Rattus norvegicus: one gene and its partner. The protein of the gene in region 1 purifies or fractionates together with the protein of each later gene. This does not show direct contact. Links are inferred from orthologs where the notes say so. Each region holds a gene or a part of one and is shown in the gene's direction. Other genes may lie near its edges.

What was found. Proteins that work in one complex are often made in the same cells at the same time.
Region 2: the proteins of Wdr5 (region 1) and Paxip1 purify together in Homo sapiens (affinity purification with mass spectrometry; 7 studies listed by BioGRID and IntAct, counting the BioPlex papers as one, with this or other methods). This does not show direct contact. The link is inferred for Rattus norvegicus from reciprocal best matches to the Homo sapiens genes WDR5 and PAXIP1.

The regions. Positions count from the first base shown.
Region 1 is NC_086021.1:31,234,456-31,238,545, forward strand, and holds the start of Wdr5 (WD repeat-containing protein 5), read left to right. Parts: upstream 1-1,290; 5' UTR 1,291-1,571; intron 1,572-4,090.
Region 2 is NC_086022.1:8,257,794-8,261,765, forward strand, and holds the start of Paxip1 (PAX-interacting protein 1), read left to right. Parts: upstream 1-1,172; 5' UTR 1,173-1,286; coding exon 1,287-1,367; intron 1,368-1,459; exon of another isoform or gene 1,460-1,623; intron 1,624-3,848; coding exon 3,849-3,972.

The DNA.
Region 1 (4,090 bases):
TGTTAGTGACACTTGCCTTTCCTGTCCACAGTTTTGTTTGTCTTCTAAGTCAGGTAGCTCCTCTCTTGTTAGCATGCAAGCTCCCTTCTTTCCTGCCTTCCCTGGACACGCAGGGGAGCTTTTCCTGCGGCGATAGTTCCTAAGATCTTTTTCTGAGTGTGGGGGTGCACAGCAGAGTCTCTTTGTGGCCCAGCTTAGAAGAGAGGCAAGTATGTTCAATTTGAGCTGTGGTTTGCAGTGGCAGGAAGCCCCCGCCCTGCGGTAGGCAGGGGAGACCGCAGGCGCTCCGGACTTCCGGACCTCGTGGACGTCCACCAGTGGCACCAAGAGGGTTTCCTAGAGTCCAGGGCAGGCACAGGCCACGACAGGCAAGCTGCTATTAGCTTGGCGACATAGCCTGGAATTTAACAGGAAAGGCACATAAGCACATTTTTACCCATCTTTAACTGCAGAGAGTTCCGGTCTGCAGGCACTGAAAATTAGTGGCGGTCAAATAGGAAGCAAGAATCATAGGTGGGCCCTTTAAGGCGCTCCGTCTCCTCTAATTTTTCTGACCCTCGTCGCCGCCCGTTGCCCCGCCCCCTCGCGCACGCGCAATCCCTCCCGCCTCCCGCGCCGCGGCCGACTGGTCCACCAGATCGTCTGCTCTCGCGCGCAGGGCCAGCCGAGGCGACGCCAGAGCGCCCGGCCCCGCCGCCCCGGCCCCGGCAGGTAAGGGAGTGACCCGGTCCTGCGGGCGCGAGGGGGGCGGCGACCACGAGGGCCCACGGGCTTCGGGATCCACAGCGCCGCACGTGTTCCGTGGGCCTCCGGCCGGGCCCGGCGCCGCATTTGTGGCCGCGCCCCGACCCCGCCGCCCCTTGTGGCCGCCACGGCTCGCTACTTCCACTGCGGCCCCTGCTGCGCCCCTAGACCCGTAGCCCTGCGAGCTCCTCGTGGCTCACACCTCAGGCTGGCGTCCCTGGGAGTGGGGACACCCAGCTAGCATCTCTCAGGTTTCCTTGGCCACTTGGCGCTTTCGTGCTGCCACCACAACCTTCACCCGTGTCCTAGTGCAAGTTTCTACCTGACGAGGGCTGACTGGTCAAGTGGGTTTTGAGCACTGTCTGGGTCAGCCAGGCAGTTGAGAGTACAGTGGTGTGAAGCCAATGGTACTAGGACCTAGGGGTATCCAGTAGTCCAGAGAGGATGGGTTGGAGCTCTTTGTTGGGTTACCTACTGCACTCACCTGAGTGACTGGACCATTCTGTCTTCCCATACTTGTGTACTCAGTGTCTAAGGCGGAAACAAGGAATCTGCATTTGATTGGAGGGAGACTGATGGCTGCTGCCCTTCCATGATCACGTTCCCTGTAGTGTAAAGCTGCGGTTGCCAGTTAACTGCCTCCTTTGTGGGCCGTGGAGGCCAGCTCCAAACCACCTGCTGAGGATCCTGCTTAACACACCTCCCTCCCAGAGCTGTCCTCTTCAAGTCCTGCTTTCCGGTGACCTTAAAACAGAACACCTGAGTGCTCTCTGTCTTGGACTCTACCCAGTGGAATTGGAAATTGGTTTCCTTTGAGACGGTTTCAGGTTGGTGCTGGCTTCACATTTAACTATGAATTCCCGAACCTCCTGAATGCTGCGAGGTAGATTGGCTAATGCTAATGTTCTTTCTTTTCTTTTTCCTTTTTTTTTTTTTTTTTTTTTTTTTTTTGGTTGGTTGTTTGGGGCTGTGAACTTATTAGAGCTGGGATCAAAGTGTGGTGCACACCCAGTGTCTTCATATGTTAATATTTGGCTTCCTGAAAGAATCAGTTTATAAAGGGTGGGATGGGATGGGCAGGGTTGGGTATCCTCGTGCTTGTTTTGCAAGGCCATTCACCCGAGGCTAGGTGAATCTCTTTATATGCTAAAAGACACTGCTTAGTTCCTCGAGACTTCCTACCCCAGAGATCTGCCCTGCTCCCTTGGCCTTTTATTTCCCTGAAGCAGGGAGATGTGGTAGGACTTTCTATCTCATTACTTAACATCTTCTCAGCTCCTCTTGCTACCTGTATGATCCACAAACATGTTGGCTCTGGGAACTCATGGCCATATAGTTGCGTTAAGCAGCTTCAGGTCAGGCCTGGGAGTTGATTTATGCCTGTTACACCAACCATACTGCGGCTATTGAGGCAGGATTTTGAATACTGGTGCATAGCAAGACCCTGTCTCCAAAAAGCTAAAAACACCAAGCAGCTGGTATTTCCTGGGCACAAGAGCTTTGCTTTGTGGAGGGACCCAGGCAGGGGACCTACCCCTAGTTGGATCCTTGCACCTGGGCTTGAGCTACAGCAGAATTTGACCTTGGTGGAGCAGGCTACACCTGTGCCCTGTGTGGTGGGTGTTACTGTTCCTTCCTAGGATTGAAGACTGAGGCTTTGGTCTCTTTTGGTGTTGTCTCCTCTTAGTCTCCCGTGGGGTCTGTGTGAGGTGTCAGGTTTAGTCTCAAAGCTAGGCTGTGCATCGTGATTTCTCCTTACACTGATGGCTGAGGGATCATGATGGCCAGTGATGTTTGCATGTCTTAGGAGCGCTCCATTGGAGGAGCACTAACTCACTTCCCAGTCACGGGATGGCCTGTAAACTGTAGGAAGTTGTTGCAGTTGCACTGCTGAAGGGAGTAACTGCTTTCCCTCAGCTCTGCAGCTTCTTCTGGTGCAGTTTCTCTGATGTTCTTCCTGCTACTCCTCCTGGGAGGTTTCATATGGGGGCGGTGTCTACTTTGCTGTACTCTTTCTTGTAGCTCTTTTTATAGTACTCTGTGCAAGAGTCCTTGAGCTCTGTACGCTCTTAGCATTGTAGAAGGCAGTTTGCAGCCTGTGAGGTCAAAGGGAGCCGAGGTGGAGGCCACCAGGTACAGACAAGACTCCTGTGTTTCCTCAAATTCTTTGGGTGTATTTTAGAATTTGCCTGAGTTTCCAAACTTCTGCACAGAAGGTCTACTCTTGTCACTTGGTCTGTTGTTTCTGTTAGAAAGCCTTTTAAAAACTGTATCAAAAGGCCCTGGGTTCGGTCCCCAGCTCCGAAAGAATAGAAAAAAAAAAAAAACTGTATCAAGGAATCTTTGAAGCAGAGCTCACATTCCGGTACACATCTGTATACTGCAGTGGGAAGCCTTCTTGAAGCTTAAGTCTTAGGCTCACAGAAGGTTCAAGAGTAGACCATCCATCACACAGAGCACCTGAAGCTGCAGCCTCGGTACAGTTATCCCCAGCTTGGAGCAGTTTATTTGTTGTAGGGTTCAGTGCTGCGGTCATGTTCTCCTTTTTACCCATTTTCTTGGGAATATTTTTATTTTTATTTTGTTTGAGTACAGTGTAGCTGTCTTCAGACACACAGAAGAGGGCATCAGATCTCATTATAGATGTGGTTGCTGGGACTTGTACTCAGGACCTTTGGAAGAGCAGTCAGTGCTCTTAACTACTGAGCCATCCCTCCAGCCCTAGAGTCACTGTTTTTTTGTGGGGGGGTGAGGTGGTCTTATGCATGTTAGGTGAACACTCTTCTATGAACAGCTCAGTCCCAAGAACCTTTTTGTTGTTTTGAGACAGGATTTCTTCTGTGTAGCCCTGACTGTCCTGGAGTTCACGCTTTTTTTTTTTTTTTTTTTAATATTCCTTCCTCTCTTATCTTTTTATAAAACACAGCACAGAGTATGCCTTTTTTGTGCGTGTGTTTTATAAAAATAAGGAGAGAAGGAATATGTTTGGTGGAGGAGAGATATGGTGTGAGGGAATGGTGTGGGGGGAGGGGGTGCCTCTGCAGGCTCATGCGGAGACATTCCTTCCCCTGAGGGACCAGCCACACAACAGTCAACAGTATATTGTAGAGTTTATTCAGGGCATGGGAGGGGAGTTGAGAGGGTAGCAGAGACCGAGAAAGGCAGAGATAGAGTTGAGGGATGCCAGCCATGAGCACATGGAGAGAGAAGGGTGAGGGGAATGGGGAGAGAGGAGTAAGGAGGGAGAGCAAGAGAGTGGAGTTCACTCTTTAGACTAGGCTAGCTTCAAACTTGTAGATACACCTTCCTCTGCCTCCCGAGTACTGGAATTAAAGGTGTGTACCAC
Region 2 (3,972 bases), on another chromosome or scaffold:
CTGATGGCTGTAAAACAAAGTGGCTCTGCTCTGGGTTCGTTTGAGATTATAAGAACATCAACACTTAATCTGCATGAAGGTCACAGAAAACACAAAGCCTGATTAAAGAGCAGTGTCAAGAGTGCAGGACTTGTCATTCTGCGAGGGCACCACGGCAGTTTCAGCTGTCATTGTCATTCCTGTAACTTTATACATCCATACTTATTACAGTTATCTGTGAAGACAATTTCTTATGAATTTTGCTGTTTACCTTTAAGAACTATGTTGACGGAGGCTTGGAGCGCTCAGGAGTTCAGAACACTTAGTTCTCTTGCAGCATCTCCAAAAGTTTGGTGCCCAACACCCACGTGCTGTGTCACTTCAGTTCCAGAGGATCCTGAAGCCATCTTCTGACCGCTGTGGGCACCAGATACTCACCGGGTACAGATACATACATGTAGGGGGAAATCCAATACACGTAAAGATTCTACATTTATTTAGAGTGTGTGTGTAAGTGTGTACGTGTGTGAGTGGAAAGGTCAGAAAACAACTTGCTGGAGCCGGTTTATGCTTGTCACCACGTGTGTTCTAGGGATCGAACTCAGATTGGTGGTAGGTGTCTGCCTGCTAAGCCAAGTCGCCGGCTCCTACTTTGCTCTTAAGCTGCATCACCGAAGATCAGTTCCCCGCCGACTGCCGCAGTAGGTGTGAAAGGGGCGGATGAAGGAAACTGACCATTAGCCAGGGTCTGCCTGACTCTAGGCTGGACCGTGGACAGCACAACAGCCGTAGCAGCGACAGCTGAATTCAGAACGCTCGATTGTGCGGGTTGCCTTCCGCACCGAGGCTCCGCCCCTTCGAGCATGCGCTGCCAGGTGGCCGCGCGGGGTGACGGGAGTCCCGCCCAGGCCCCGCCCTCTGGCTGGTCCACCGCGGCTGTGCGGGGGATTTAGTGTCTCTGTGACTTCTCTTCTCGGTCGCGGAAACTCGGCGGGGGCAAGGCTGCCAGATGCTGTGTGAACTGTTTTAGAAAATCAGCTCTGATGCTAGACGCGATGGTGGAAGGAGCGCTGTGCGGCGCTCAAGGTGGAATAGTCCCACATGCTCCCCTGCCGGTCCGGTCCGGTGGTACGTGCCTCAGGGCGCGCGCGGCTCCCGCGCTCCGGGCCTCGGACGGGCGGGGGCGCGGGTCGGAGTGCGGCTGCGGCTGCGGGCCGGGCTGTGCGGCCGGGCAGTTGGCATAGCTGCGACGCTGGGCGCGGCGGGCCGGGTGACGCGGGGCCGGGCGCCGCCGCGCCGCCGCGATCATGTCGGAGCCGGCGCCCGAAGTTCCGGAGGAGCTGTTCCGCGAGGTCAAGTACTACGCGGTGGGAGACATCGACCCGCAGGTACCGCCCGCGCGGGGCCCCTCCGCCGGGCCGTCCCCCTCCCCGCTTCGTCGCGCGCGCGCCCTGCAGGACCCCAGGCCGGAGCCGCGGGGCACGCCGGGCCGCGCAGGGCCGCGCAGGGCCGCGGGAAGGGTCTCGCGAGCACCGACCCAGCGCGTTCGCCGGCCGAGCATCTTGCGGGGCCCTGCTGAGCGTGTCCCTTGCCTAGGGGCCTGCCCTCCCGGTCCCTGATTTTTCCCTAAGGGTGGACTGTACGGTAGGTATGGAAGGTACCCTGCTTACACGGTCACAGTAATAAGTGCGTGTGACCGTGAATCTGGATCCATCCACAGGACAGTGGATATCTTCAGGACTGTGGTATCTTCAGGACAGTATCCCAAACATTTCTTTTCCTAAACTATGCTTGCAGTTGTGTCGCCTTCGGTGTCTCATAATGTAAGCTAAACGGGTCCTAAGGAAGGAATTGTCCAAGAGTCACTGAGCATGGCCTTCCAGAGACTCATACTTGTATCCTAGTAACCGAGGTCCGTTGGGTCTTCCGTCGCGTGCTTATAGCAGACTTTTTCTAGTACTGATCACCCCATTACCACCACCACCTTTCTTCTTCTTACCCTTTCTTGTACTTCATTTTAGGATTTGGGCTCTTAGAAGGGTCCTGGACTAAGTGTCACTTGAAACCAAGTACACACTGAACTGAGCTGTTTGCCCAATTATATGTGAAATCTGAGTGCTTTAAAAAGAATCCCCCTTGTAAAGCTTTCTATTCTGAAATAGTGTGTATTTCAGAAAGGTTTAGAGCCAGGGCACCTATTCTTTGAGTTTTGTAATACAAATTGAGGAAGCTCACAGGTGGTGAGCACCCCAGTACAGACTGGGCATCGGGCCTGGTAAACGGAGTGCTGCAGAGGAGTGCACTTGAATGCTGAGTCCTACAAATAGAACAGGTGGAGGTGCTGGAGGTGTTGAGTCTTAAATAAGCGGATATTGAATACAAGAAGTTGTTTGTGTGGACTGTGTGTTCTAGGCGTTAAAGGCATATGTATACTTGGCATGTGTCCTGATGGTCACTGCGCATAGTTACAAGGTGGTTCCTGTGAGGTGGAATTAGTAATGTCCAGTTTGGGAAGGTTTGGGTGTCCTTGCTGTGTGAGACCTGAGTTTTCACAGTTTGATGGCCACTCCAGGGAGCTGGAGCGTGAATGTGGATAGAAGGTGTTGAGCACAGTGAGACTTGTTTCTGGAAATTTGTCATGAAAAGAAAGCACTGGGACCCAAGAAGGGGAGGCTGGGGAGAGCTTGCTGTGTACGTGTTTCTGAGTAATGTGAGGCTGAAGCAAGTGGATGACGTCTGTGGATGAAGGTAAAGATACTTGGTGCAGGGAAGCTGGCTTGTGGCTGGCTGTTGGTTTTCCATGCATCAAGAACAGACTTCCCGGGCTGCTCCAGTTCTTAGTGATGCTTAGCAGACCATCCTAGACTGCATTGCTTTTGGCTCTGTTTTGACTCCGGCCCGCATACCACAGTCCAGTCGTTCTCCTCTGGCGCTACTCCATGTATTCCTGACAAGACCTCAGCATTTGACATCCTAGTGGCTGCCATGTTGACTCTCAGAACTTTGACTGCCACCTCTAATAGGTTATCTCTGGAGAGCCAGAGTCCTCTCTCCATGTGACTGATAGTCTCTCACCCGCTCACACAGGACCAAAGAGTAGTATACCCACACTGAAACCCAGCAATGCCCCTTCCTCTCTACTTCCAGTCAATCCCTCTGGGAGATGCCAGCATTTCCTGCTCGGCTTTTCTGCCGTGCCTATACCCTGTCTAGTTACTGTGTGGGTAAGTCTGTTCTGTTTGCTGCTGACGTTTCTTAGTGCCCTGCCTCTTAAAGTTGTCAGAGTGCTCACAGTTGTGTCTTAACGAGTGTTCTTCTGTTGCTGTCCATCTGTAAGATCTGGTGGTGCTATCTTCCTTTGTGATATCCTTCCATGATTTAAGGAAGGATTGTTATGCAGAGCACCCAAGAAAACATTGACCATGGTTGAATCTGAGTTTTCCTGCTAGGCCCTCCCTTGGTGTATATACTTTGCCTGATAGGCATCTACAGGTTAGGCTTCTCCTGGTGGGTCTCTGCGTCCAGAACTTACTATCTGTAGTGGAACCAGTCGTCAGCCTTTGGGTTGGATACCCGGAACAGGTATTCTGTACAGCTCAGCAGGTGCTGGTGTGTGCTGTCTGTCTGGAGGGCCACTAGCAGGGGTAGCTGGCCACCCATCTCTGTAACTTGGACTGTGAATCAGGGTTGCTACATTTTATTGTCCAAATGGATTTTATTGGCTTTTCCATTCAAGAAAAGGCTTCTCTGTAGAGGACAGGGTATGTTTTTATTAAGTGTTTCTATTGTAGTTAATCATGACTTGTTTGAATTAGGAAGGCAGTATAGTACTTTGTTGTTATTGATTGTGCTGTTGTTTCTTTCCTTAGGTTATTCAGCTTCTTAAAGCTGGGAAAGCCAAGGAAGTCTCCTACAACGCTCTGGCCTCTCACATCATTTCGGAGGATGGTGACAACCCAGAGGTGGGAGAAGCCCGTGAGGTCTTTGACTTGC